Linked DNA regions of Rhinolophus ferrumequinum. The protein of the gene in region 1 purifies or fractionates together with the protein of each later gene. This does not show direct contact. Links are inferred from orthologs where the notes say so. Each region holds a gene or a part of one and is shown on either strand. Other genes may lie near its edges. The genes, in order: RANBP10 and RMND5A.

What was found.
Region 2: the proteins of RANBP10 (region 1) and RMND5A purify together in Homo sapiens (affinity purification with mass spectrometry; 4 studies listed by BioGRID and IntAct, counting the BioPlex papers as one, with this or other methods). This does not show direct contact. The link is inferred for Rhinolophus ferrumequinum from reciprocal best matches to the Homo sapiens genes RANBP10 and RMND5A.

What each region holds. Positions count from the first base shown.
Region 1 is NC_046298.1:17,384,037-17,387,944, reverse strand, and holds the start of RANBP10 (ran-binding protein 10), read left to right. Parts: upstream 1-911; 5' UTR 912-1,020; coding exon 1,021-1,255; intron 1,256-2,031; coding exon 2,032-2,143; intron 2,144-3,908. UniProt on the Homo sapiens protein: May act as an adapter protein to couple membrane receptors to intracellular signaling pathways.
Region 2 is NC_046296.1:7,841,383-7,845,290, reverse strand, and holds the start of RMND5A (E3 ubiquitin-protein transferase RMND5A), read left to right. Parts: upstream 1-1,703; 5' UTR 1,704-2,019; coding exon 2,020-2,161; intron 2,162-3,908.

The DNA.
Region 1 (3,908 bases):
ATGTGTAAAATACATGATCTCTCCAGGCGCTTCTATTTCTTCATTTGTAAAATGGTGATATTACTACCTCATAGAGTTGCTGTGAGGATTAAATGTGGTTTGTAAAGCACTTGTCACATAATATACAAACAAGCTGGCTGTTACTACTAATGATGAAGTGCGTCTGTCCTTTTGCTAGCACGTAAAGCCCTCGCTGGGCTGACAAGTCATCCAAGATTCAAACTGTTTTTGTACCACCGATCCTGTGGGGCTGGAGCCCCAGGCCAATGGACACAGTCGGGAGGTGCAGAGGTCCGGATCAAATACCTTTTTTTTTTTTTGGCAGTACTCAAGCCCTCTTCGCCCTCAGCCCGGCCAGCACCTACCTCGACGTAGTCGCGAATCTGCAGCACCGCAGCTTAGGGGAGGCCATGACCCTCTGGCAGCCGGGCAGCCAGCACCCGCCGCCCGGAAAGCTGTGATAGTGTACAGCCCATCGCCATGGCGACCAGGTCCCAGCATCCCAGAGGCGAGGGCGGGGTTAGGTTTTGCCACGCCCCCGAGCCCCGCTCTCGCGAGCTGGGAAGAAGGCCAAGTAGTAAAAGTGGACTCGGACCCCATAGCGGGGTCCTCTCAGAATCAGTCACTACAGAGGATTTGATCCTAGCTACCAGAACCGAGGCAGGGGGATAAACAGGCCATGGGAAGGAAGGTGAAGTGATACGCCGAAGTCGCGTTGCCAGCGGGAATTGTAGTTTTCAGTGGTCTAAAGTCTCGGCCGAACAGACTTATGGATGAGGAGGTTTATACTACATCTCCCAAAGTTCCTTGCCACCCCGAGTTGGCCCGCCTCTGGAGAGCTCTGCATAGTGGGATATGGAGTTCGAAATATGGCGAGGCGTGGCCGTGTCCAAAGAGTGGTGCCGGACTAGGACTCGGTTTCCCTGCGGCCCCGGTAGGCTCGCGGGTCATTGGCTGAGCCGGGCGGATCTGGTCCCGCTCCTCCCCGCCCCCAGTGACACAATAGCAGCTCCCTCCAAGATGGCGGCGGCGACGGCGGACCCGGGAGCTGGGAACCCGCAGGCTGGAGACTCCTCCGGCGGGGGTGCTGGGGGCGTGCTGCCGTCCCCGGGGGAGCAGGAGCTGAGTCGGCGCCTGCAGCGTCTGTACCCCGCAGTCAACCAGCATGAGACGCCGCTGCCGCGCTCCTGGAGCCCCAAGGACAAGTACAACTACATCGGCCTCTCCCAGGGCAACCTCCGCGTCCACTACAAAGGTATTGGCCTGTTTGGCCGCGGGTGGAAAAAGGCCAGAGCGTCTGCGGGGTGGCTGTGTTTCCCAGTCCCTACCTCTTTACGTCCCTTCCCCAGCCCGGGTACTCCGAGTTAGGCCTTAGCCCCTGCGGGTGTTCAGGGTGGTGGGGCTGACCAGGCCAAGAATCGACTGCCTGGTCTGCTCTGCCCTGAGACACCCGATGTCAAGAGAACTGCAACAGGTGTCCAGACCCAGAGTGGGTTGGACCTTTCACCCGAGGGCCTTTCTGCTTGTCCTGGGATAGTTCCAACTCCAGCTGGGCTCTTCTTCACTACTGCTTTGTTTCAGCAGTGTCTGAAGAAAGGGGTGATCACATCTTCTCCATTAACCAGAGACCAATGGTCTGCTCACCCGCCAGACTGGGCCTGGGGTTCTGTGCTAAAGCTGGGGGGCAGGTGTCTTCCACGGCTTCCTCCTCCTCCCCTGGTCTCCCAGGTGGGCTGCCTGTATTTTGGAGAGACTAGCAGCACTGGGGAATCTGTCATATGCACCCACATTGCCTGTACCCTCATTGGGTTTGTATGGGAGACAGAGTCTCAGGCAGGGCTGCTATTCTTAGAAGGTGAGACAGAGGTGGGAGGTTTATGTTTTTGCTTAGCTATTGTCAGATTATTCCTTAGACTATGTAAGGGCTTCCTCTGTCCATGGAGGGGTGAAGTTGCCATGGAGCAGAGAAGAATGAGACCTTCATTTGCATTTCCTTGTGCTGAAATATCTTCCTTGCCCTCTCCAATTTAGGTCATGGCAAAAATCACAAAGATGCGGCCTCAGTGCGTGCCACCCATCCCATACCTGCTGCCTGTGGCATTTATTACTTTGAGGTGAAGATTGTCAGCAAAGGAAGAGATGGGTAAGCCCTTCCTTACCACCTTTCCCTCAACACTAAGCTATTCCCTGTGGTCAGAGTTCGAGATCTCCTGGCTGACACTTGTGACTGATGTGAGCTACTGAGCCATATGGGTCTGGACTGCAGAGGGTTGAATAGTGGGCTGCCTCTGTTACCTGACTGTGAGCATGGCCTGGTCTAAGCAGCAGACCTTGATGCTAAGTAGGTGCATTGGGGATAGAGGAGGGGACTTCTCTTTTGTGATATTGTAATGAGATACCTCGCAGGTCAGGGAAACAAGTAACAAGTTTACATTAACAATTCAGTGTCCAGAATGGGGTTTCCCCCCCACTGATGAATGGTATTTGTGACTTCCCTCCTCTCACATTCTTGCTGTGTTCAAGGTTCCTTTTTATGGCATTTAATCATAAAGAGGCCCCATTAGCCTTCAAAGGGGTAGCAGAGTCTTCCCAGCATTCATCAAAGCTGTGGCAGCCACTGGCCTGTCATCTCAGGGTAAACAACATGCACATGGTCAGAATCAGGTGACCTTGCTGCTCATAAACTTGTTTTTCAGTCCTGGGAGTTGAACACCAGTTGGACCAGCTTTAGGAAGGTCCTCATTAAAGTCAGCGTTATGGAGGGTCCCTGTTTTAGGGTGATCTAAGCAGACGCAGGAAATCAGAGGGGAGATTTTTTTTTTTTCCTTCCTTCTTTCTTATTCCAGTTTCCCCTTTTTCCAGTGATTGTGACAAACCAGGTGTTTAAGTTATGATATAAAATGATTGCAGTTGTCTTAGAAAGGCTTTCCTCATCAGACCGTAGGTCAGGTGTGGGAAGTTTGCCAGCCCCCCCAGTGACCTCCGTGCCAACTTTGCGAATGAGTTCTTGAACATTCAGAATACTTCCTTTCTCCTAGGAACTGTCCGCCTGTGGTGCATGCAGAATGCTCTGCCATGGAGCTGTCCTGGAGGCAGAACTGCCAGAGTTAGAGTTTTACCGGCGTCCTTAGTGACATTGTAACATCCCTGCTAGGGAGCGTTGTGTAATCGTGGGTAGACTGGGGGGCTTCAGTCTCCTCATCTGCCCTGTGGGGAGCTAGGCCAGCATCTAAGCTGCTTCTAACCACAGCATTCTGTGATTCTGAAATTCTGATCATGGCAAGCTATTGTATCTTTCACTTTTATCTCCATCTAGTGCATTTACAGATGGGAAACATATTATTGGAGGGCTTTAAAGCTTCTATTTTCCCTTTCCACCCACTGATAGAAGCACATGTATTTAATGTGCTTTAACTAGTGTGAATGAGAATGGCCTCTTAAACAAAACAAACATGGCAAAAACAGTTACAGTATAGACTGAAATGTTAGTGCTAGAGTCTCATATTGCCAAAGAAAGTGAGGGGCGTTTCTTAAACTTGTAGGGAGGAAAATGGATTGTTTTTTCTATAGTTCTTATAGAAAACAGTTGAGCTAGTGAGAGAGGAGAACAATTTTTCAGAAGGGAGTGTTTAAATGTAGAATCCTGGATTCTTTCAACTGGCATTTAACATTTCAGTTGTAAGTGGATCTTGCTGGAAAGGCCCCGTGTCTGGTTAGATTGCCTTACTGTAGGTGATCCCTGCAAATCTAAAGAAAGTTGGGCATCTTCTTGCAGCTTCTGTTCCCATCATTTTTACATGTGGTAAATAAAGCCATCAAGCTGACCTGCAAACCTCAGTTTTAAAAAGGTCATAGGTCGTGTATACCTTGGTGGCCTGCTTCAATTGATTACTGTCAGATGGCCAATA
Region 2 (3,908 bases), on another chromosome or scaffold:
GAAAGGATTAGGGACTAGATCAATGTGACTTCATGACTAAATTGTCAATCCAGATACACTTCCGGGAACTGACAACAGTAATAACCTGGACCACCACCATTTATCATGTGACTATCATGTGCTTATTATGGGCATTTACATATATTATCTCATTTAATTTTCCTAAGAATCTAATGAAGTACTATTAATTCCAATTATAAAGAAGGAAATTGGGGCTCAAAAAGGTTTTGCCTTATTATTAAAAAAAAAAAAAAAGTTGCCTACTATGTTCTGTTCTGGGCACAGAACCAGAGGCCAGGGGCCTGCTTTCGTGGAGCTTTTATTGATGATGTACAGACAGAAAAGTACACGAATCAGATTTAATAAGTGGTGAGAAAATAATAAAACTAGTGCTATAATTGATAACATAATAAAGCTAATACAGCAATGGAGGAAGGAGTGCTGGAACGTAGAGGCTACATTAGTGCAGTCAGGGGAGGACCCTCTGATGTGACAAGTGAGCTGAGAACTTAGGATGAGAAAGGTGGAAGAGTTTTCCAGGCCAACGGAAAAGGTAAGTGTAAAGGCCCTCAGGCAACATTGGCTTGGCTACTGAAGCAACACTAAGGTTACTGTAGCTGAATGAAACTTAGTGAGGAAGGGTATACAGGTCAAGGTTGGAGGCGCCAACAGCAAGTCGGGAAGGATTTATGCAAACTCAATCCGAATCAATGGAATAAGGCGCCTAAGAGGCAGGGACCACGCTATCCGGCTCTGCAACGGGTTTCCATTCCGCGAAACTGCCAGCACGTGGCACCTGGGTGAAGCAACCGGTCAAGAAAGGTTCCAGGACCAGGCGCCAAAGTGCAGAGGCCCGCGAGGTGTGATGGGGGTGAGGCGGCGCGGACTGTGACCTGCTACTGGTATTGCAGGCGTCTAGGTAGCACTGACGGCCGCGCCGGGCTCTTCCTGACACGGGCCCAGTTCGACTAGCAAGTAGCTCAACCCGCCTTTAATTCTCGTTAGTGACCCCCGCCCGGCCTGCCTTGGTTTTTCCACCGCGGCGACGAGTCCGTGTTCCAAAACTTAGGAATGACAGTACCCCCGAGTGACAGGGAGATAAGATAATTTATGGCTAGGGCGAAGTCCTATGGAAGGTAGACCTTTTCCTTCCTGTCTCGTTTTTCCGCACGGTTTTCCAGAAATAACTTGCTTCCCAGTTTGCTCTCCAAGTCACCCCCTCCAACAGCGAGACTATTGGTTTGGCCCCTAGACTCGGATTGGCTGAAGGTTTACGCCTAGGCCAGGGATTGGAGGACGTTGGTCCCTTACGTATGCACCGCGCCCATTGGTTCGTTTTCCCGGTTTCTGGGAGGAGTGGTTAGGGACGGTTTCCACCCTCTTGTTTACGGAGCGCGTAGTTGTAGCGCTCTCTGAGACCTGGGGCTGCCTCCAAAGTTCCCTGTTTAGCTCCTCGGACCAATTGGGTCTCTGCTCCACCCTCCACCTCTCCCTTACACGCCTCTCGCGTGGTACGGCCCTCACCTTTAGAGCGGCGGCGCGAACGCACGCCCGCAGCGTTCCTCCGCCCGCGCTTGCTGGGCTGCTTCCCCTTGCGGGTGCGCTTGGTACGGCCCGCGCCGCCTCCTTCCTTCGCTGGGGTGGCTCCTCCCCTCTCGGGTCCGCGGCTCTTGGTGCCGCCCTGGAGAACCAGGTCATCGGCCGGTTCCCGTGAAAACAAAAACAATCGGCCGCGCGGCCGCTGGCTCCCGAACGCGGCAAGCGGGGAACAGGGACGCGGGGCCCGGTGGGGCGAGCAACCCAGAGCGTACGCAACGCGCGGGGCGCCGGGCGCCATGGGGCAGGCGGGCACAGGCTGCACGGGGCTCCGCCGGCGCCGGGGCTAGCTTGCCCGCCGCTTCAGCAGCCCGCGCCGCCCGCCTGGGGGACGAGGAGCAGGACGCGGCCTCGGCCGGGCCCGGGACGAACGGTTGCGGACACCCGGGCGCCGAGGAGCCGAGCGCCGCCGCCGCCTCCGAGATGGATCAGTGCGTGACCGTGGAGCGCGAGCTAGAGAAGGTGCTGCACAAGTTCTCGGGCTACGGGCAGCTGTGCGAGCGCGGCCTGGAGGAGCTCATCGACTACACGGGCGGCCTCAAGCACGAGATCCTGCAGAGCCACGGTAAGGCGGCCGGGTTGGGCGCGCGGGGCCGGGCCCACCCGTCCGCGTCCCTGAAGCCATGGCTGGCCGGGAGGGGTGCCCTCGGAGGGCCGTTTCCCGCCTCCACGAGGCGCGGAGATCCTCAGACCCCCGTGACTTTTCCTTCTCTTCTGGATTTGACTCGAACCTGTCCGACCTGGTTGTTAATTAAGAGTGAGCGCGATCCCACCCGGAAACCTATCCCGGAGCCGCGTGCTCCAGCCATGTTAAACCTGCGTGGGGGGTCGGTCCGCCGCACCTGCAAATCGCCGCCCTCCGGGGTGGGTGCCCCTTGCCCCGACCGACCGGGAGGGTCTAGGTGAAGAGGATAACTGCGGGAGGCCCTTTCCTCCTCCCCTGCTTCAAATCCTTTTTCGGGGGACTGACTTTCCTTTTTTTTTTTTTTTTTTTTTTTTTAAATTAGAAAGTCGAGTGTTATTCTTAGCTGTGGGTTAACAGAACAGTCGCTTCTGCAACTTCAGAATTTGCTGTGTGGAAGCAGCTCTTCAACTCCGCAACAGCGCTGACATGATTGCAAGGGAATTAGCTGAACCAAACTGGTCAGCTCTCCTAGTGTAGCCTATGATGAGACTGAGGAACAATTGGAAATTCTTCCTGAAGCAAATTGTGGCGCAAGTTGTTAGTTACTTGCCTCAATTGGTCAAGTGTTTACTTGTTTTCCTTTTAGAAACCATGTTTCCTTTAGAAGGTATTTTACCTCGGTTATTTCATTCTTGCCCTAGAGCCTGGAGCAGACACTTTGCCAAAGTTAACTTGTGGAAGCTGGTTGGGAAGGTTTTTTGTTTTTTTTAAGTGACATTAAAGGTCTGGTATCCTTACATTAAAATATTCATTGTGATGATTCCTTTTGATCAAGAAGTAGGGGACTTTTTATTTAATAGGTTCATTCAGAAGGTTGATAGAGGGTCTTTTCAAACTTGTAGGCTGAACAGAAATTTATGTAAAGGAAGATTTGGTAGCTGGGGTGAAATGCTGATACTTGTGACAGGTGAGATGAAGGCAGTGGAGCTGAGCTTCGCTCTTCTCTCCATTCTTCCACACCTACCTTTCCCAGATGGCTTTCAGTTGAGAGTAAGTGCTAGTCCATGGTAAAGGAGCCTTATAACATCATCTCATTCTGGACTTCACAGTCATTTTTGAACTCCGGGGAAGAAGCAAACTTGCAACCATAGTGGAGGTAGAAGTTGAAATATTAATATGGAAAAATTAGCAGACCTAGGTGGTTGCCTGTGAAGGGGAATGGAGGTGGAGTGGTCTGGGAATCCTGGGAAGGCTCTGGTGAATTTGGTTTTGGACATGTGAGATAAAGGGAAGGGTCAACGAGGATATAGAGTCAAGTGATTAATGTTTACTGGTGGCCGGAGATGATGCATAGATGGTGTTGGTCTGGGAAAGAAATACCATTTTTTAGCTTAATTTGCCAGAAGTTCAAGGATTGTACTGAGCTCTGATTCTTATCCTTAATCATTTTGATTAAACTTTAGATTCACTTAATTTCCCCAACTTGAGGGAAGAGAAGACACTGCTGTCATTTAGTTGTAACAGGCTTTCAATGAGAGTTTCCCTGTAAGTATGAAAATTGGTCTAATTTAAAATTCAGTATGGTTGATGCTGTTTCATTCCCAGTGTGCCCTTGACCTAATTTGGATAATGCACTGCTGTTTCTCAAACTTCACTCATACATGTGCACTGTTATTTTTCAGATGGA